Rattus norvegicus: one gene and its partner. The protein of the gene in region 1 purifies or fractionates together with the protein of each later gene. This does not show direct contact. Links are inferred from orthologs where the notes say so. Each region holds a gene or a part of one and is shown in the gene's direction. Other genes may lie near its edges.

Evidence for each region.
Region 2: the proteins of Zfp280d (region 1) and Cbx1 purify together in Homo sapiens (affinity purification with mass spectrometry; 4 studies listed by BioGRID and IntAct, with this or other methods). This does not show direct contact. The link is inferred for Rattus norvegicus from reciprocal best matches to the Homo sapiens genes ZNF280D and CBX1.

What each region holds. Positions count from the first base shown.
Region 1 is NC_086026.1:81,885,532-81,889,960, forward strand, and holds the start of Zfp280d (zinc finger protein 280D), read left to right. Parts: upstream 1-1,383; 5' UTR 1,384-1,427; intron 1,428-1,854; 5' UTR 1,855-1,888; coding exon 1,889-1,916; intron 1,917-3,332; exon of another isoform or gene 3,333-3,481; intron 3,482-4,429. UniProt on the Homo sapiens protein: May function as a transcription factor.
Region 2 is NC_086028.1:82,283,529-82,287,017, forward strand, and holds the end of Cbx1 (chromobox protein homolog 1), read left to right. Parts: intron 1-2,129; coding exon 2,130-2,274; 3' UTR 2,275-2,903; downstream 2,904-3,489. UniProt on the Homo sapiens protein: Component of heterochromatin. Recognizes and binds histone H3 tails methylated at 'Lys-9', leading to epigenetic repression. Interaction with lamin B receptor (LBR) can contribute to the association of the heterochromatin with the inner nuclear membrane.

The sequences.
Region 1 (4,429 bases):
AAGCTGAAAGGAAAGGAGGATGCGGGAAGTCAAGCACAAGGTCTTGAATATGCTAAGTTTGCACTCTACTCTCAAGCTTCATTCTCAGCTACAATAAATTCAGTTTTCTTAACTCATTTTTTGGGCAATTTTTCATAGTAAAGAGATTTGGCTTTTTTGTTTTGTTTTTGTTTGTTTGTTTTTTAGTATTGGGGATTGTATCCACTGCCTCCTGAGTGGTAGGCCAACGTTCTACCCCTAAGCTTCTCTTTATTCTAGAATTTCAAAGTTGCCAAACATTAATAAGAGATTACAGGTATTTAAATTTTTCATTGGTTACCAATTGAAACCTTTAAGGCATAATTTAATCTTATTTATACAAAAGCTAAAACATTTAATAAAATAAATTTATATTATTCTCAATGTACAAAAGATAACTTTTGAAGTCTTAACTTCTTTTTATATTAGTTAATTAATTAATTCATTTATTTATTTATTATGTGTGTGTATGCCTGTGCACACATGTGGTGGAGGTAGCAGACAACTTGCATGAATGAGGTCTTTGTTTTTGTTTTTTTTGGGTTTTTTGTTTTGTTTTGTTTTGTTTTTTTTGGTCATGTGAGTTCCAGAAATCAAGTTCAAGTCTTCAGGCTTGCTCCAAAGCCAGTTGTAGTTTATTATGTAACCCAGTGTGCCCTTGAACTTGTTGATATTCTTTTTGCCTCAGCCCCATGTGCCATTATGCCTGGCCAATTGTGAACTTTTGGTAATGTTTATTGTAACTTTTATTGAGAACCAATGAGTTATAAGTGTGGTTAATTGGAAGCTATTTACCTATCTTTATTTTCACCTAAAATTTAACATATTACCTTACTCTTAGCTGACTAGGAATACCTCTTATCTTAAGTGAATTAATCTGATGAGCTTTCTTTTTCGTTAGTTGATAAAGTCAAAGTTGTGTTTTATTATAGAAATAGTGATATTTTTGAGTTTGAATAGGCAACATTAGTATCATTTAGCATTTGGGCAGTGACATTTACTAAAGCAGTGCATTATGAGGAATTTTTTGCTGTTACTTATATATTAATATATATTTATATGTTGTTGTTTATTTGTTTGAGACAATTTCTCCCTGTTTAGTCTAAGTATTAAACCTGTGATCCTCTTGCCTCAGCCTCCCAAGTACCTAGATTATAGATATGTTTCACGTTTGTCACAAATAATTATTTTTATTTTATTTACTTGTCAGATTTACTGAAATAGGAAATACTTGATATAATCACAGTTTTGTTTCTGATATTTGGAATTCTTAAGGAATAAACCGATTATTTTATAAAAAGGGTAAATATAAATGTACATACATTAATATCATCTGCCCTAATGGTAGATATCTTTATTTTCTAGAAAGGCAAACTGAGATACAACTTGCTGATTTTTGTGGTCACATGGTAAGTTTAAATATTTAAATTTGATCCAAGAATTTCTTTTATGTATTTGTTTTTGGTGTGTGAGTGCAGGCACGTGCATCTGTGTGTTTGGGCAGATGTTCGAGAAAGACAGGGTTTCCTGTCCTGTCCCTCAGCTTTGCTCCCTTCATGCAAACTGTGTTTCGCGGAGCCTGAAGCTCACTGTTTTGGCTAGAGTGCCTAGCTAGCAAGCTACTGGGATGGAACTGTCTTTGTCCCTACAACACTGAGGCTAAAGGCCACTACTTTTTATGTATGTGCTAGGATTCAAAGTGAGGTCTTCTTGTTTGTTAAACAAATGTTCTTACCTCAATGTTATCTCCTCAACTCCTCTATCAAGAATTTAGTTTCAGGTTTATTTGTAGTTAAAATGACTCAAAATTGACTGATGTCATATGTCAATACTTAGGTGACAACGTATAGAAAGTCAGATCTACAACTTGATGGGTGACAGTTCCTTTCAACCAAAAGGTAAATGTTACTTCAGTAACTGATGCTCATGTGCAGGTGGTGTATAATTCCACTTATGATAGAGGGTGAGAGATAGGGAACATCTTAGAACCATAGAACTATTGAGGTAACAAATGAACTGGCATGAAGTATTTTATCTCTATTAACTGTTTATGTTAATAGTTTATCAGTTTGGCATATATTATCATATAGATTTCTTCTATGCTTGTATAAGCATTTATTAAAATTATAAAAGATTTAGAGCTTTTTCTTAATAGTCTTTCATATATTAACAACAGCAGAGTCTGTGTATGTGTGAGCATACATGCATGTGTGTATGTGTGTGCTGTATACTATATTATTTTACTTGGGTTGTCATAATAAATCACAGACTAGATGGTTTCATTTGGTAAAATTTTATTTTTGGACAATTCTTGAAGCTAGAAAGTCAGGATTAAAGTATTGCTAAGCTTAATGTCTTCTGTGGTTTTTTTTTTTGTTTGTTTGTTTGTTTTGGTTTTTTTGGGTTTTTTTGGTTCTTTTTTTTCGGTGCTGGGGACCAAACCCAGGGCCTTGCGCTTCCTAGGCAAGCGCTCTACCACTGAGCTAAATCCCCAACCCCGTCTTCTGTGTTTTAAGATAGAAGCTCTGGGCCTCTTATAAATGGTCATATTAAATTTGTGGCCATATTGTTAAGAACATGATAGAATGTTGTCCTAATTTTGAGTAAAAAATAGAAATTGCACTCTTTAGTATAATAGGAAATAATACTTAGAAATGATAAAGATATTGTTTAAAATAGAACTTCAGATAATATCTTTTGTAGTCTTACTATCTTCATGTCTGGACAAGTGCCACTAATGTTCATGTACATAGCTGGTCATATACATGGTTATATTAGTTGAGGCCCTTAACACTGTTTTCCTTCTTTGTCTGCCTCCCTCTCTTCTTGCATTTCTTCTTTCTCCTTTATAGCCTGAATTATAAATGCATGTAATTAAAGACTCAAACAGTCTGAAAGGCTTTAATTGGCCTTGCCAGTTTCATAAAGCAGTGCTGGTAGAGACTACTAGAAGGGGGCATTGAATTGAATTGGAGCTGGAGTTACAGGGGATTGTGAGCCACCCAGTATGGGTGTTGGGAATAGAAGAACTTGGGTTCTCCAGAAGAGCAGTAAGTGCGCTTAACTTTTGAACCGTGTCTCTAGTCCTTGTTTTAGCTCTCTTTTTATATGTGTATTTATTTTATTGTTTTTAATTATGTGTAATGGGGGTTACTTAAGTTCATGTGTAAGTGCAAGTGCTCACAAATTTCAAAGGAAGTTGCCAGATAGAGTGGACCATCTGTAAGAGTAGTACTTTCTCTTAACTGCTGAGCGACCGTTCCAACCCGTTTTATTGCTTTGTTTTGTTTTTTAATTTTTCTCCCCTGCCCAAGACAGGGTTTCTTTGTTAGCCTTGGCTATCTGTCCTGGAACTCGCATAGTAAACCAGAACCTTGAACTCCAGAGTTCCACTTAACTGTCTCCCAGTTGCTGGAATTAAAGGCATGCACCACCACCACTACAACACTCCTGGGCCTGAGAGGTGATCTTAAAGTTAATTTTTAATCTTTGGTTTCCTAGAGAAGTCCTCCTAACATGCTGTATCCTGCATCCATCCTACTTACTTACTCTAGACCTACTTACTGACTTACTCTCTTCTGGCTTGTGCACCTTAGGTGTTACTCTTTGTTCATTATGCTCTGCGTGTGCATATGTGCATGTGTGCGCGTGCGTACACATATATATGTGTCAAGGTATTTGGGGAGGGAGATCAGAGGACAGTTGGTGGGACTTAGTTCTTTCCCACCAAGTGGGTCTTGAGGATTGAGCTCAGATCATGAGGCTCAGCAGCAAATGCCTTTATCTACTGAGCCATTTCAGTTTTATCCTGTTCAGACTTTGACTCTTTGATGTCTGATATACCCGTTTCTTTTCTCTACTCTACCTCTTTCTTAGAATCCTTTTAATTTGTTTTGCTATCTTTTTATCTTTTATATAGAAACTTTTTCTTCCTAAAATCCCTGGTGTTTATTGTTTCATCTACATTTAAGAGAGTGATGCCTAATCGGAATTTCTCAGTAGTTTTTCTGCATGCCTTGCTTTGATCGATTTCTTTAGGGAGAAATGTGTAATTTGCTCTATTTGAGATAAGCCTCACTCCTTTCTTACATTTTCCTCTCATACCAAATCGAACTCCCCCCACCTTTTTTTTTACTCTGCATTTTCCATTTCTAAGACTAGTTTATTCTAATTTGTATTTTCATCTGTGGCTTCTTTTAACCCTCCCTCCCTTTAAAGACAATAGATAGGATATAATCCTTTTTTTCAGAGTTAAATGTATACATTTTTTACTGCATTTTCTTTTTTTCTTTTTTTTCTTTTTTTTTTATTAACTTGGGTATTTCTTATTTACATTTCGAGTGTTATTCCCTTTCCCGGTTTCCAGGCCAACATCCCCCTAACCCCTCCCCCTCCCCTTCTTTATGGGTGT
Region 2 (3,489 bases), on another chromosome or scaffold:
AATCAAATTTTTAAATTAAAAAAAAGTTAGCTGTTGAGCTGGGGGTGTGACTCAGATGGAAAGGGTTTGATCCCTAGCCCTGTAAAATAACAAAACAAACCCAAACCTTCATGATAAAGATGTGGTTACTGATAGAGGTCTTGCCTAGCATGTACAAGGCTCATGGTTTGAACTTCAGCGCCCACTCCCTCACCCTCAAAAGATTGAGTGTTGATTGTAAAACTTTACCCAAGTTTTTAAAAGTCACACATGGCTAGGTGTGGTAGTTGCACACCTTTGATCCCGATACTTAGAGGCAGAGGCAAATGGTTGTCTGTGAGTTTGAGGCTAGCTGGTCTCCAAAACAACATAGAGCTGCAGTTTTCAACCTGTGGGTCATGACCCCTTTGAGGGCCAAATGACCCTTTCACAGGAGTCATGTATTAGATATCCTGAGTATCGGATGTTTATGTTATAATTCATAACTGTAGAAAAATTACATTTATGATGTAGCAATGGAATTTTTTGGTTAGGAGTCAGCACAAGATGAGAACTGTATGAAGGGTTGCAGCATTAAGAAGGTAGAGAACCACTGACACAGACTGATACATGTATGCTCATGGGTCTGTGTATCTGTAGAACAATACACATGGCTCTGGCTTCTATTTCTAGTACCACATACATGCACATTAAAAAAAATGTGAGGGGCTGGGGATTTAGCTCAGTGGTAGAGCGCTTACCTAGGAAGCACAAGGCCCTGGGTTCGGTCCCCAGCTCCGAAAAAAAAGAACCAAAAAATAAAATAAAAAAATGTGGGGCTGGAGAGATGGCTCAGTGGTTAAGAGCACTGGCTGCTCTTCCAGAGGTCCTGAGTTCAAATCCCAGCAACCACATGGTGGCTCACAACCATCTGTAATGAGATCTGATGCCCTCTTCTGGTGTTGCTAAAGTACACTACAGTGTACTCATATACATAAAATATAATAATTCTTAAAAAAAAAATGGGCTGGAGAGATGGCTCAGCAGTTAACTGGCTTCTTTTCTAAAAGACTCAGGGTCAGTTCCCTGTGCCTACATTGTGGTTCACTACCTTGTAGAACTGTAGTTCCAGGGAATCTTAACATCAGACACACATTTGTATACATATGTATAGGCAAAAGACGTACACATAAAATTTTTTTAATTTGCTGCATGGTTTTCCAGGAAAGTGGTAATACCTGTCCATTGCTGAAAATAGAAAATATTTCTATGTAGTGAAAAGACTTAAACTTACTCCAGAATCTCTGTTAAAATAGGGCAGTGTGTTAGATACTTTGTAAGTACATTTCCAGCCATCTTGGTGTGGTTTCTTATAGAGGCTTAATCATATGGGCTTATTCTGTGGTTCTCTGTGGCTCTAAACCCTTGTTCATGGTCACATTTGGGAGGTTTGTGGTGGGGCCTTGTCACATTCTGTCCTGCCCCACGCTGCTGCCTCTGTCTGGGACGGACCCAGTGAGCTGAAGATGAATGGATAGAGCTTCCTCCTAGTTAACTCCCTATAATGCATATTATTCCCAGATTTTAATCTTGTTTACCTTCTGAAATTCTAATTAAGCTTTTGGGGGGAGGGGCTTTTCTAAAGAAATAGTTGAGTCAGATGACCTACCTTTTGACGACGTTTCTTAGAGAAGATTTTTGTTAGTTTTGTTTTGTTTCAGTTTTTGAGACAGGGTTTCTCTGTATAGCTCTGGCCATCCTGGAGTTCACTTCGTAGACCAGGCTGGCCTCGAACTCACAGCAACCTGCCCTTGGGGGGAGTTTTTTTTTTTTTTTTTTTTTTTCCCCCACATGGAGAGGTTTAATGAGAGAAGAAGAGTAGAAGAGGGGAGGAACAAAGGCTGGCCATGAGCATGTGGAGGGAAGGGGGAAGGATGGGGCGAGAAGGGACAGGGAAGAGGGCACCAGAGCAGAGAAAAGGCAAGAGGGGGGGAGATTTTTAACAGGAATATCTTTGTATGATGTGATAATACATATCTAGTAAATGCTGCTTGCACCCTGTTTCCTAATTTGTTTATGGAATTTAGCCTTTAAAGCCCCATTCCCTGGGTGGTCCAAAACATGAGACCACAATGGCTGACTTCAAAGTTTCTTTGTGCTTTGTTCTGCAGGAAAAACTCTGATGAGGCTGACCTGGTCCCTGCCAAGGAAGCCAATGTCAAGTGCCCACAGGTTGTCATATCCTTCTATGAGGAAAGGCTAACGTGGCATTCCTACCCCTCAGAGGATGATGACAAAAAAGACGACAAGAATTAGCCCTGTTGAGTACCAGCCCCTGTCACCTCTGACTGTGGGTTTCCAGGGGGAGGGAAGGAGCTGTACTTGTCTTGACACCATTGAGGTGGCTTGAGAAGATGTCCTTTGAAGAGCCAGCATAGTTTCTGTGTCCTGCAGCAGCCCAAGTGCTTTAAATTGTTCACACTGTATAGTTTGCACACCCATCCCAGGGGAGGGGAAAGGGTAAGTGTTTCAAGGCTCTGTTCTGCGCTTTACTAAGGAAGGAACAGGCCTTCCATGGAGGACAGAACCCGCAGAACTGGGATGTGGGAAAGCAAAGATACTGTCGATCTTCAAAGAGCATCTCCACAACCCACTGCCTTCTTCCCAATAGTGTTAACTGCATTTTTACAGCCTAGCATGTGTGTAGTTTTTTGGCTATTACTGGTATATTAATTGGGGGTGGGAGGGTTGGGGCAGGGAGGAAGGGAGATGGGTAGAATCATTTTGATTAAAATTTGGAGCCTGATTGGGGAAATGGTGAAACAGTAGAACAGTTAACTAATAAATTGGTTCTATGTCCAGAATATTTTGCCTTTTCAAAAAATTGTCATTGGCACCATAAATAAGGACTATGAGAGACTGTTTAAAAAAAAAAAAAAGAAAAGTCTGTTAATCCTAAAACCTACAGCCAAGGTGCTCCCAACCTGAGCTCAAAGTAGCCCACAAAGGACAAAGCCAGTTCTGAGTTACCAAAGCTGCCATTTGATGATGGAAACTGACTGGAGAGGGAAAGTTTATTGGAGAGTATTAGAGGCAGACCACTCTGCCTCAGAGGTGCTAATTCTTGAAATTGGAGAAAACCTTTTCCAATTACAAAGTTATAAATATCAGTTTGTCCGTCTAAGCCATTGGCTCAAGTATTGCAGGAGGGCCTATGGGAGATGGAGGAGGGGAGCCTCTGCTCTGGGGGCAAACTCTTGGAGCCCCTCTCGCTTTTTCTTTTTTTTTTTTTCTTTCTTTCTTTTTTTTTTTTTTTTTTTTTTTATTTTGTTTTTTCAGCTTTGAACCCTGAAACTGCTTGTGGCAGGTTCAGTTACTGACAGCACAAATTCCATTGAGTCTATTCAAGGATTGAATGACTTCACAAGCCCTGGTCTCAGGAGATTAACTTTCATATTGGGGTAGTGGTTCACTTGAGAATACAAAATCTTCAGATTAACTGATGTCCAAAATACTGTCTTAAATCATGAG